3 linked regions of the Cricetulus griseus genome follow. The main gene of each other region encodes a partner of the protein of the gene in region 3 in a complex. Links are inferred from orthologs where the notes say so. Each region holds a gene or a part of one and is shown on either strand. Other genes may lie near its edges.

Region 1 (4,271 bases), on a different chromosome or scaffold from region 3:
ACTCGGTTTCGTTAATGAGTTAAAAAGTCTATATGAACATATGTTTATGAATTTCAAGAGCACTTAAGGGACTGCATGATGGAAAGTCTCTGCTGAAGTCATTCATGTTATCAGAGTCAAAGCTGATGTGGCTTCTGTTGTCAACGCTGAGGACTATGACCTGGGCCAGGTTTACCATTGCAGTGGTTTTGCTTTCCTGTTGGTAAAGAGGTGTAAGAGGAGGACTTGGGGTGGGAATAACCGAGTGGTGAGGGTGAGCCTCTGCCTGGCAGCATGAGGCCCGGGCTTGATCTCCAGTGCTGCCGATAAGTACATGAGCCAAGCAAGATTTCCCCTTGCACATCTTCAGCTTGCCTTGTTTATAAGTCAGAAAACCCTCCTCACGGAGAGAATCAGAACCAGGGGTTGTTACACCCACCTGTAATCCCAGCATGCAAGAGGCTGAGCTACACATAAAGAAGACCCTGGGGTGGTTTTTATGTACCAAGGTTTGAGGGCTGTAAGAGATTTACTTTTTCTTTTGAGTTATTCCTACATCGACTGGTCTGTATGTGTTGTTTCCACATCCTTCATGTGAAGACAACTTAAGAGTTTCTGCAGAAACATAGGGCACGCTCTCTTGTTGCACCCTGTCTGCCTTTGAATTCCTTTCTCCCTGGGGGCTGTGTAGGGACTAAGATGAAGTTTCTCTCCAAGAGTGTGAATCCTTTTACCACTCACCGTCTCATCACAAAGCAGAAAAGGCAAACAAAATAGTCACAGCTTCACTATCTACCGTCCCTCCCTCCCTTTCCTTCCCTCTTCTCCATCCAATGTGGGATTGAGCCTAGGGTCTTGATCATATTAGACAAGTGTTCTACCATTGACCTACACACCCCCAGTCTGCCCCGCCTCCTTTAAATTTTGTTTTGTTTTGTTTTGTTTTGAGTCAGGCTCTGGCTAAGTTGCCCATGCAGGCCTTAAGCTTGTGATTCTTCTCCCTCCGGCTTTCAAGTAGATCAAGTAGATGCGGCAGCCAGCAGGCCTATGCCACTAGACCAGCTAGGGCTCTCTTTCACTGAGCTTAGGTCGAATAGCCTTGCAAAATTTGAGTTGTCCCGGAGAGGCAATGTATTGTGTTACGTCCTGTCTAAAGCAAACAATAGACTTTGACATGTCCAGCCTGTGGCGTAACAGTGAGAGTTACAAGACCATTTACGAATATGTCCAGGATACTTCTGGTTTTCTTTCGATAATTTGATCATCCAAGTTGCTTTCTTTGAGTGATGAAGTGACATGTTATTAGTACTTTGTCAGAGGAGTTTTAGCAAATTTCTGGATGTCTTTGTGTTTGCTTTTAAAGCCAAAGAAACTGACCTTTAGCAACTTTGGGAATCTGCGGAAGAAGAAGCATGAAGACGGAGAGGAATATGTTTGTCCAATGGACCTGGGGCAGGTGTCGGGGAGTAGCTCCCAGAAGGGGTTTAGACCTGGCTTGGACATGCGTCTGTATGAAGAGGATGACTTGGATCGGTTAGAGCAGGTAAGCCCCGTACTGTGTGCTCACAGGCACTCGGACACACCATGGAAGCTTTGCACACTGTCTGCAAATGCCTGAAAACGAGAATAGCAGAGTATTCTGAATGCCTGTGGACAGCCGCCCACTTCCCAGTACTGCCCTAAGCACCTGGCATGCTTTATTGTTGGTACTGATCTAGGACCTTGACGGTGTTTCAGTGGGGAGACCGAGGCACAGGGTCCCTGCTGTTCTGCTGCACTCTGTGACTGTGCTCTTTCGACTTTGCTTTCATTCGTCTGCCCCTTTGAAATCTCGCAAATGGGTTTGTCACATTATGGCCTGTTCTTGGCAGATGGAAGATTCTGAAGGGACAGTGAGACAGATAGGCGCGTTTTCCGAAGGCATCAACAATCTCACAGTAAGTGTGTTCAGGGAGTTGGAAAAGTTATTCTAAAAGTGTGCAAAGCCACAAATACCCACTTGCTTGTTGGCAGGACTAAGTGTGTAACTTGCTGCCCCTTGTCTTCCAGCACATGTTAAAGGAAGACGACATGTTTAAAGATTTTGCTGCCCGCTCCCCCAGTGCCAGCATCACAGATGAAGACTCCAATGTTTGACCAGAGCATCTGGGCAAGCACCAGGAGCACAGGTGTCATTTTCCAACTTTGTTTTTCAAGTAGTTCATGTGACAGGTGACAGGTTATGCATTGCTGGTTGTTCCAACGTCTGCTCCCTCGGAAGTGGAGCTGTGTGTAATGCAGGGGCGCCGTGCCCATTCTGAAGACGCTGAGAGAAACGAGACACCGGTGAACAGAAGTGTGCCCACTCTGCCTCTGTGGAATGTAATGTCTGTGGTATCTTCTGTTTAAAGTGCTGCGTTTCAGGTTGGGCGTTTCCCAGAGTGCTCCTTCATCCACATCCCAGCGTGGACGGTTTGGCCACACCCGTGTTTGCTGCAGCGTCTAAGCTGAACGTGCTGCTCTCCAGATCCCACTGCTCACCGCATCCGGGGCCGCAGAATGCCAGCCGCACCTCCACTTGCCTCTGACTGTCTTATTTTCATATATTTTTCTAAATATGTATATATATATACATATATATATATATATATATATATACAGTATAGAGAAAACAGAACTTTTATTTTGTGACACAAGGATCGAAAGATCAGATTAAAAACAAAGAAACCCCAGTGTTCTCAGGTTTTTGTAGACCAGCTGATTCCTGAGGAGACAGGGAATTCCTCCAGTGATGAATTTTAACAGTGTTAAATTCTCCATGCTGTGCACTACGTTGACGCCCACAAAATCGCAGAGCGGTGTAGAAGCTCCGGCTTTACTCGTGCCTCCGGCTTTGGATGCACTCAGTCCCCTCAGAAAAGGTTTTGTTAGGGTGACTTTGGAAAAACCAAACCAAAACAGGACCTTTTTACATGTTAAGTTTCTCATTTTCTTCTTTGCTAAATGCACCATTACATGGAACTAAGGAGTCCACCTAGCCATGTCCACTGTCCCTTACACTCATACTGTCAACTGAGGGGGCTTCGTGTTATTTCAGTCAGGGATCCAAATACTCTGAGGCTGCAGGCCGTTTTCTAATGGTCTTCCTGTCCAGTAGCATATTGCTCATGTTTTCTGTAACACAAGGCCCAAAAGCTCTTTGCAAAGAGGCTAGAAAGCCAAGCACAGCTGTTCCTGTGGCATGTGTATATGTGTGTTTTCAGTGGTGTTGGAGACAATCTGGTTTTCATTTGGGGTTACACGTAACAAGACCAACTGTGTACAGACAGGAGCTCACCCGCTGGGGTGCAGGTAGGCAGCTCAGTTTATGGTAATAGATTTGGTGATAACCGTTTCTAAATGTCAGCAGTATTCCTGTTATGTGCTCAGCAGGTTACAGAGCTGTTCGTTGTGACACTTGTAACACTACTCTTTATATCTAACTACAATTATCTGATGCTAATGGTGATGTCCTTTGGATGCTCCCGTTCATGGTTTGATTGCTATATTGGCTTCTTCCTCGATTGGGGTTTTAGTTTAAACGTTGATTAAATGTCACCATTTGAAAAGCTCAATTTGTTATTTGAGCCTGGTTGAAAAATACCAGCAAGACTGTTACTGATGCCAAATATTCTTTATAAGGACAATGTAACAACTGATGATATGTGATAAAGTTAAAAAAAAAACTTTTGATTATATATTTTATTTACAAAAGTATTTGTATGCACTGTTGGCATTACCGTATGAAAGCAAATAAAGTCAATTGATAACTGCCTTGTGTTTTTAATTGTCATTATTTTAACATTCCTTTGTTCAGAAGAACATCTTGGTTTCTGATAGAAAAATAAGCTTGTATGTAACTTGCATATGTTTGTGTGAGTTGGGTTCACAGCATGAATCACAGACAAATTGAGATCTTCACTACTTAAGAAGTAAATGAAAGGAAATATTAGCACCATACTTGGGAAACAAAGGGTCAAGACAGAAGTGATCTACCTTTAATCCCAGCACTGGGGAGGCAGAGGCAGGTGGATCTCTGTGAGTTCGAGGCCAGCCTGGTTTACAGAGTGAGTACCAGGATAGGCTCCAATAGAGATAGAAACCCTATCTCTAAAAAAGAAGAAGAGGAGGAGGAGGAGGAAGAGGAAGAAGGGGAGGAGGAGAAATGGGAGGGGGAGGGGGAGACTTGCAAACTTGGAGACATTGGTTGGAGAGAAAGGGTATTTATGACTCCAACCTGTGTGCTCACATGCTGGTTTTCATTTGACCCCTTT
Region 2 (3,500 bases), on a different chromosome or scaffold from region 3:
CTGCTCTCAATCTCCTCTGCCCGCTGCTCTGTATTCTCCTTCTCTTCTTGTATCAGCCTAAAATGCAAACAAGAGCAGTTGGTTTTATTTCATCAGGAAGCCCTATGTGTGCAAGCAGAACAAGCCAAGTCTGGCTGGGGGTAGGGGTCTTCTTATATGTGAGCCCAGAAGCTGGAGGCTACAGTGGGAGGAAGGTGCCTTCAAGACCAACGAAGGCTACACCAGGAGACCCTGTAGCTAACAGCAGAATGCTGGTGATGTTAGCACTACTGTCTCCCTCCACTAACAGCTAGAATGTTCCTGTGCTCACTCTTAACACAGACAAAGGTATGCTAAGCACTGGATGATGGAAGGAAGGAAACCCACTGCTTCTTGTCCACAGCATGATCAAATCACCACTTCAACTTACACAACAGCACCTTGCATGTCTTGTCTGGCCTTCCAGGAATAGCTCTGGGTAGCAGGGGAGTGATTTGGGCCCAGTTTCTCTATTTATGAAGGGATGGAAGAGTTTCACCTCCCCTAGTATAGTGTAGAGAGGTGGCCAGGCTGTCAGAGGTAAAGACTATCTCAGAAGCCCAAGTGCTCTGCTGTGGGGGGCTGTAACGGGGATGTTGATCCCACCTATACCATGCTTTCCCATGAAAAAGTGAACTGCAAGACTCATCTCTTGAGTTTTCAAAGTGTACAACACACTAGGCCTCATTATAACACCTTCACACCTGTACAGCATCTACTCTAGTCTCTGGTCATCTCCCTGTCCCCTTCCTTCCACCCTCACACCTTCACAATATCCACTCCAGTCTCATCTCCTTCCACTTTCTTTTTGTTGCTCTTATTTTGAAACAGGGTTCCATGTAGTCCAGGCTGGCCTTAAAATTGTTTATAGTCTAGTCTGGCTGTGAACTAACTACTCCTCCTGCTGCCTCCACCTTCCAAGAGCTGGGATGACAGATGCATGCCATTGCCTCCTGGTTCCTACTATCCTTGTGTGTCTCTCTCTCTCCCTCTCTCTCTCTCTCTCTCTTTTTTTTTTTTTTTAAAGACAGGGTTTCTCTGTGTCTTTGGAGGCTGTCCTGGAACTAACTCTTATAGACCAGGCTGGTCTCGAATTCACAGAGATCCGCCTGCCTCTGCCTCCCGAGTGCTGGGACTAAAGGTGTGCGCCACCAACGCCCGGCTTCCTTGTGTCTCTTACACACCAAATATGTACATATATATACCTGATCTCTTTATTGATGGCATCCAGCTGTTCCTGAAGCATCATGGCCAGTGTCTGCGCATCAGCTTGCCCACTGGGTGACAGCAGATCAACTGAGCTAAGCAGAGTATCTCTGTCATCTTCGCCATCAGACACATCCACATCACTCTCAAATGCCTGTGCCACATTTGCCAAGACGCTGGCTTGTTGGGCCCGTTCCCAATCCTGTTCGTTGAGGGTCTGCACCTACCAACAAGAACACTATGTCTCAGTAGATAAAAGTAACAGCAAGCACTCAAAGGGTAGGGAAGGCTGCTATTAGAAATGTGAGCAGTCTTACTGCAAACCAAGGCTTTAGGAAGATGCTCATGCACCTGAGCTGCTGCTAAACAAGAAGCACCTGACAGACAGGGTGAGCCCTGAGGAACACACCTGTAATGGAAGCACCTAGAAGGAGGATACAGAGATGGGTCTAGATTTGGGGGCCAGCTGGGGCACAGGCTGAGCCTGTCTCATGGTGAGAGAGCAAGCACACACACTGTGATAGAAATGCCTGGGACATTCCACATCTACACTCAGGTCACCCACTTTGATGGAAATTGAAAAGGAAGCCTAGGGGCACATGAAGGGATATGCTCAACTGCCATGGAATGATGCAGTGGGTGTGAGCTTCCCAAGCCTGGTACAGACAAGCACCAAAAAAAAGCCAGAGGAGGAAAGCAAAGCAGGCATGTGAACATAGCCAGTGGTCCCTGGTGCAGTTTCCAGGGGAAAGGACTATACAGAAGAGACCCCTATTGTGAACACTGCCCATAGCAGCCAGTGTTAAATCCTCCTGGTGGTTAATGAATCCCCTCCTTACCCCTCCCCTTCCAGCTGCTACACTCCCTCCCTCTCTGTGGATTGAAGGTCAGGGCTCATGCCTTCCTTTCCTCCAGAGGCACTACACCTGCTATGGCTTCCACCCAGACTTCCTACCAGTGGCACCCTCATCTCCTCAGGTAAGACAGCATCTCCATCCCTCATCTTGAAACCACAGATAAAAACCACAACATTCTGCCACCCTACTTCCTTGTCCATCAGCAAAACCTCTCCAACAACTGCCATCTGTTTCTGCCCTTCTTCCCACTCCCAAGGGCTCACTCAAAGTGGGCAGAGTACTCAAAGCGAGCAGAGCTGGTCAGCTCCCATAGGCTCAGGCTTGGCTGCTGTCCTCCCTGGATAGGCTATTCAGCTGGCCCCAGGCCCCAGCCCTCCTGGCTTATCATTCTCCTAGCCTGTAACACTGTAACTCTAGAGTCAGGTATCCATGGTACCTAACTGCCTCCTGCTTCTTATCCTTGGCATACTGCAGTGATTTGAAAATATACCCCTCTCTCCAAGTGGAAGACAATTCAATGGTCTCCATATGGGAACAAACCACAATGACTCACAGGAATGGAGGGAATATAACTGATAAAAAGGCATGTGGCTTCCCAGACCAGGTAGTGAAGGACCTGGACTTCCTCCTGGATTTCTTCAAATGTGAGCTCTGAAGAGAGCCAGCAGCATACATACCACAAGGACCCCAAAGAGTCCATGCAGGTCAGTCAGCAAGGGCTTGAAAATTCTGGCCCACACTGCCAAGCCTTCCCTATCTACAAGCACCTAAGGCCCTCAGTCATGCTGCTCCTAAATCCCAGGGCCCATGAACTGCCCGTAGCCATACCATCAGCACAGAACTTCATGGTACCCGCCACAGAGCTAGCTAGGTACAGACTACTGTACTGCTCACTGCTTGTAGCTTCAAACTACTCTTGAATTCATGGCAAGCCTGCTGCCTCAGCCTCTTTGAGTACTAGGATTACAGGTGTGTGCTGTGCCACTACACCTGGCATCATTGACATTTTTTATTTACTATTTCAAGTACATACCAATTAGCATTAACTTAAAGGATATTTTATTAAAAATTCTGTTCTTAAAGAAAGAACTAAAACCAAAAAGCAAGCATACCCTAAAAGCAAGCTCTTAGCCAGAAAAGCCAAGGAAAGGAACATGGGGGAAGAAGGAGACCGAGAGTCTGTCCAAGAGGAACAGGTGACGTTCCGCAAGCGGAGGCCTTGCCTTGGAGGGCTCGTCCCGCAGCGCTGCCAGCCGGCCCTTCTGGGGGCGCCGCAACACTGCACTGGTGCTGTAAGCATCCACATGCCCGTCTGCCACAGGGAACCTGAAGTCCGGGACGCTGCCCAAATGGGGTCGGCTGAAACATGGGAAAAGGTGGGTATCAAAAGGAAGGTAAAGTGTCAAGCTGGAAAGGTCT
Region 3 (4,119 bases):
GTTGAGCAACAAGAGTTAAGTAAATTTTGTGAGGATCCAAATTAAATTAAGATTCCTAATTTGCTAACATCTGGCTGACCTGGGGAAATGCTCTAGAACAGGGATTGGGCCAGACAGTTGTTTGTGTTCTAGACATTGCAGGGTATTTAACAGATCTCTATTCAAAGGACTCTGGTTGCATATTCCTATCCTCAGCTATGATAATCAAAATACACTGTGCAGCATTCCCTTCAGACTGTATGCCACCTCCTATTCCTGAGAACTACTGCTAAAATACATTGCAGGGCTCTAAGGCATCACTCAGAAGGTGTTTGTTTTTCAAATGGATGGCATTCCTGCATCTAATAAGTAAGCACAGAGAGATTTAGCGACACATTATAAAGCACAGGTATTCTTGGGGAATGTGTTAAGCTCCTGTCTTTCCCTGTCACCTGTGGCACTACCTCTTTCCCAATGTCTGCAATCTAGCATCCTGTAGGGTCAATTGTCATAACCACAACCCCAGCTGCTTTTAAAAATTATGCAAAAACTAATCAAGACCCCAGACTTGATTTCTTCATTGTACTCCACAACCCATCATGCTTAGAGTCTTCAACACTGATGAAAGGAGTGAAAACCAGAGTCTGATCAAATCAACTTTGGCTTTTTCTTCTGTCTCCTGAGAATGCTTGCAAAAGTAGTTAACTTTGGCCAGAGTTGTTGAAGACATTTGTTAAACCTTTCCCTATCTTCTTATCTAGCATTTCTTGCTTGCCCCAAAAGGATCAAGCAGACATCTCTGCAGTCATTCTCACCCCAAAAGAACAGCAGCTGCCAGCTGCAGAGAACCAGCCTGAAAATTGACAATGATGACGGCTCTTAACCAAACATCTCATTTTGCCGTTTGTGAGAGAGCTAGGATTTGCAAACTTCCCTGCCTCAGGAGTAAAAGCTACATTAACTGAAAGCAAAAACTCAACTCTCCTCCCTTTGTCAAAGTTTGGAGACCCTGTACCGAGTTTCTTAATTATGCGTTATGTTTAAGTTACACAATGAATTTATCAGGAAAAATAAATAAATAAAAACCTTTTAAACAACTAAGTCCGAGATAGGAAAAGGGAACCTCGAAAGATACAACTGCTACTTTTCAGAGAATCTTAGCTCTTTATTCAAATAAATATTTACACAATTGAAGCCAACGGCACCAGGCATATTCTGTTAAAATAGTGGGCTACTCTCAAGGTTTATTTATCCCAAATCCAACTACTCTGTTGCTATCCTACCAGGAACAAAGAATTCAAGTGATCCAAGGGCAAAAGTTTAACCCTGTGGAACTGTGAACCATATTTGGAGGCTCCCAGCTAAATTCAAACGTTTGAAGCCCAAAGAAAAAAATCTCAAACGTCCAAATTAAGCCCACGTTGGGAGCCTAGTTACAAGCATCATAGTTGAAAATTTACATCTGTAACTTACACATTCATATTCTGGAAGGAAATGCGGCTGGCAGATATTTATACTAACGGACTCCACATTTTATGTCTCTTCTAGACCCCTCACAGCTGCGCCGGGCTGTGACTAGTTGTGCATCCCAAAGCTCGAGTTATTTCAGAACCACAAAAGGAAGACTTCCAGGGAAGAGGGCTGGGCCGAGCTAAAGGATTTCCAGCCCTAGCCGGTCCACATAAAAGGCTGCAGGAGTCTTCCCTCTTTTAAGTGAGAAAGGTAAAAGAGGAACCGCTGGAAGGAGGTTGGAATTGTAAAGCTTTTCCAAACAGGAAATCCCAATCCGGGAAGGGACAGCCCGTCAGCCTTTTAATTTCCTGGTGGTGGCGGGAGTTAGCCAGGTCCTTGGGGCTTCAAGTGCTGATAGCTGGGGCAAAGTTACTGAGCGCACCAAGAACAGTTCAACTGCTCCTCGCAGTGTAGGGAGCTTGTGAAACAGGGTCGAAAGGATCCCATGATTTGGAGCTGCCATCACTAAGGGCGAAGGGAACACTATACCATCTACGTTTAGGGAAACTATAGCTGAATCGCAATCAAGGACTCCTGGTGAGAATCTGGGTCCGGAGGCTCACCCTGCAGCCTCACTCTGGAAACAAAGTACATCTAGAAGCCTAATTCAAAAAGATCCTCTCGGAACCCCATATTCCTCAGGATCCAGCTGTGGACCTTCTCTTTTCCTGGGGTCTAGATCTCTGCTTAAGCAAGTTTCCGCGAAAGTTGCCTTAGAGACCCTTAATTAAATCCTGCCTTTTCGCCTCAACCACTCTAGAGGCGTCACCGTACTGAGCACCCCTTCCCCACGAGCCCTCTACCCGACATCGTCATGCATAAGGAGGGCAGAGTATCCTAGGGTGGTACGGTTCGGGCTCTCCAGACCCCTGCCCAGGCTTTTGTCCCTACAGCCTGCAAGGGACGCAAAGAAAACCTGCGCCCAAGGCGCCCACTCACCAGCTCATCTTTCTCTGTAGTCGCAGCTTTCTTCACAGGTCCCGCTGCCCTTGGGCCTGGCCCTCGCTCCCGCCCTCCTTCCCTGCGGTCCTAGTCCGGGTTCCCGCAGCCACCGCAGCCGCCGCAGCCGCCACAGCCTTGCAGCCAGCCAGTCCCTGAGGCCGCGCACCGCGCACTCTGGGCGCCCCTCCCGGTGGGGGCGGCCACCGCCTCCTCTCCGCCCCCGACCTCCCCAGCGCGACCGGCGGCTACCAACTCGAGTGCGGGGGACGCTGTGTCCCCAGGCAGCCGCCAGGGTTCGCAAAAGCAGCTCAGTCCGCTCCTCCAGGACCACGGTAGCCCTCTACTCACCTAGGGTGACGAGGCGGCTGGGTGCCCGTGGCCACCTAAGGCAGACACACCGCTTTGCTCCGTGCCACACTCAGCGGCGCCCCTCGGACCACGATGGTGGACTCCACCAAGCTCGGTCCCTGGTCCCGACCCCCTCCCGAATCACAGCAGCGGGTCCTTGGAGTTCCAGCTGTGAAGTCAGGGCGCCTTCCGGCTCCTAGGCAGCTAAGTTGCTCCTGCTTTTAGTGCTGCTGAAGTGCCTGGCTACTCATCACCCTGCCCCACCTTCTCAAAGCTGTGTTCGCAGCAATGTAGTAGAAACCTTTGTGACTGGATTTTTCTTTTCTTTTCTTTTTTTAAAAGAAGGTGGAAATGGGACAGGAGAACACACGTCCTCGGGTGGAGGTTTCTTCCCCATGATGAAGTTTCTGCTCTGGGAAACTCCAGGGGACCGCACCTCTGCCACACACTGTTCTCCCCGGGGCAGGTTTACCTGATGCGTCAGGAAAGCAGTTGTGCCAAACAGCAGGGCGACGCCTGGGGTAAGGGCAGGAATGAGAAGACTTTAAAACTCTGTGACACCGATTTCCTTGGAATGGTGTCTCATAAACGGTTCGATGTTTTCCATAAATTTAACATAACCAGTGAAAACTATACTAATGTGGACTTTTTTCACTATTGCTTCCTTGGGAGGCTAGGAAATGGACTGGGGAGGACGACCCACAGTCCATCTTGACACGCCCAGATGGGATTGCCTGCAAAGTTCTGGCCCAGTGGGGTTACAGTGATGAAAGACAACAACCCTGGAGGAACGCACAGCATAAGGAAAGCGCAAGGACCAGCAAGCTCTTTAATTAATAGCAACGTAGCCTGGGACAGTTGCTACCAGCAAGGATGTCTCTAAGGTTGGTACAACAGAGGTACCGGTGGTGCTGGTGCACAGCAAGGCAGCCTCTGCTTCATCTATGCAAAATGCCTGGAGCTGTGAGTAAACTCATGTAACAAAATGCTTATTTAAAATGTTGCATTTGTGTAAGTAAAAGTCTGACTTTTAAAATTAAATATATTTTACTATGTATATGTATGTGTGTTTTTGTGCCTGTATGTGCACGTGAATGGAGGGGGGCGGGGCAGAAACAACGTGGGTTTTCACAGCCAAACTTGATCCTCTACAAGAGTGGTACAGCTCTTAGCAGATTAACAACCTTGCCAGCCCCTAAAGTTTGACTTGTAATTTCTGCTGTAGCCATTCCTATAAAAAATGGTTTGCATTTTTGAGTGTTCTCCGCCCACTACCCCGGTAGGATTTGCACCACAATAATAAATTCACGAGTTACACACTGTCCTTCCCCTCATCTC

Evidence for each region. Proteins that work in one complex are often made in the same cells at the same time.
Region 1: Phldb2 (region 3) and Ppfibp1 share a complex: the UniProt entries of both Homo sapiens proteins name them as parts of the cortical microtubule stabilization complex. The link is inferred for Cricetulus griseus from reciprocal best matches to the Homo sapiens genes PHLDB2 and PPFIBP1.
Region 2: Phldb2 (region 3) and Ppfia1 share a complex: the UniProt entries of both Homo sapiens proteins name them as parts of the cortical microtubule stabilization complex. The link is inferred for Cricetulus griseus from reciprocal best matches to the Homo sapiens genes PHLDB2 and PPFIA1.

The regions. Positions count from the first base shown.
Region 1 is NC_048601.1:2,678,480-2,682,750, reverse strand, and holds the end of Ppfibp1 (liprin-beta-1), read left to right. Parts: intron 1-1,342; coding exon 1,343-1,522; intron 1,523-1,850; coding exon 1,851-1,916; intron 1,917-2,028; coding exon 2,029-2,115; 3' UTR 2,116-3,771; downstream 3,772-4,271. UniProt on the Homo sapiens protein: May regulate the disassembly of focal adhesions. Did not bind receptor-like tyrosine phosphatases type 2A.
Region 2 is NC_048596.1:56,855,100-56,858,599, reverse strand, and holds part of Ppfia1 (liprin-alpha-1), read right to left. Parts: intron 3,441-3,500; coding exon 3,305-3,440; intron 1,448-3,304; coding exon 1,224-1,447; intron 58-1,223; coding exon 1-57. UniProt on the Homo sapiens protein: May regulate the disassembly of focal adhesions. May localize receptor-like tyrosine phosphatases type 2A at specific sites on the plasma membrane, possibly regulating their interaction with the extracellular environment and their association with substrates.
Region 3 is NC_048597.1:44,757,399-44,761,517, reverse strand, and holds the start of Phldb2 (pleckstrin homology-like domain family B member 2), read right to left. Parts: upstream 2,801-4,119; 5' UTR 2,782-2,800; exon of another isoform or gene 2,746-2,781; intron 2,616-2,745; exon of another isoform or gene 2,431-2,615; intron 1-2,430. UniProt on the Homo sapiens protein: Seems to be involved in the assembly of the postsynaptic apparatus. May play a role in acetyl-choline receptor (AChR) aggregation in the postsynaptic membrane.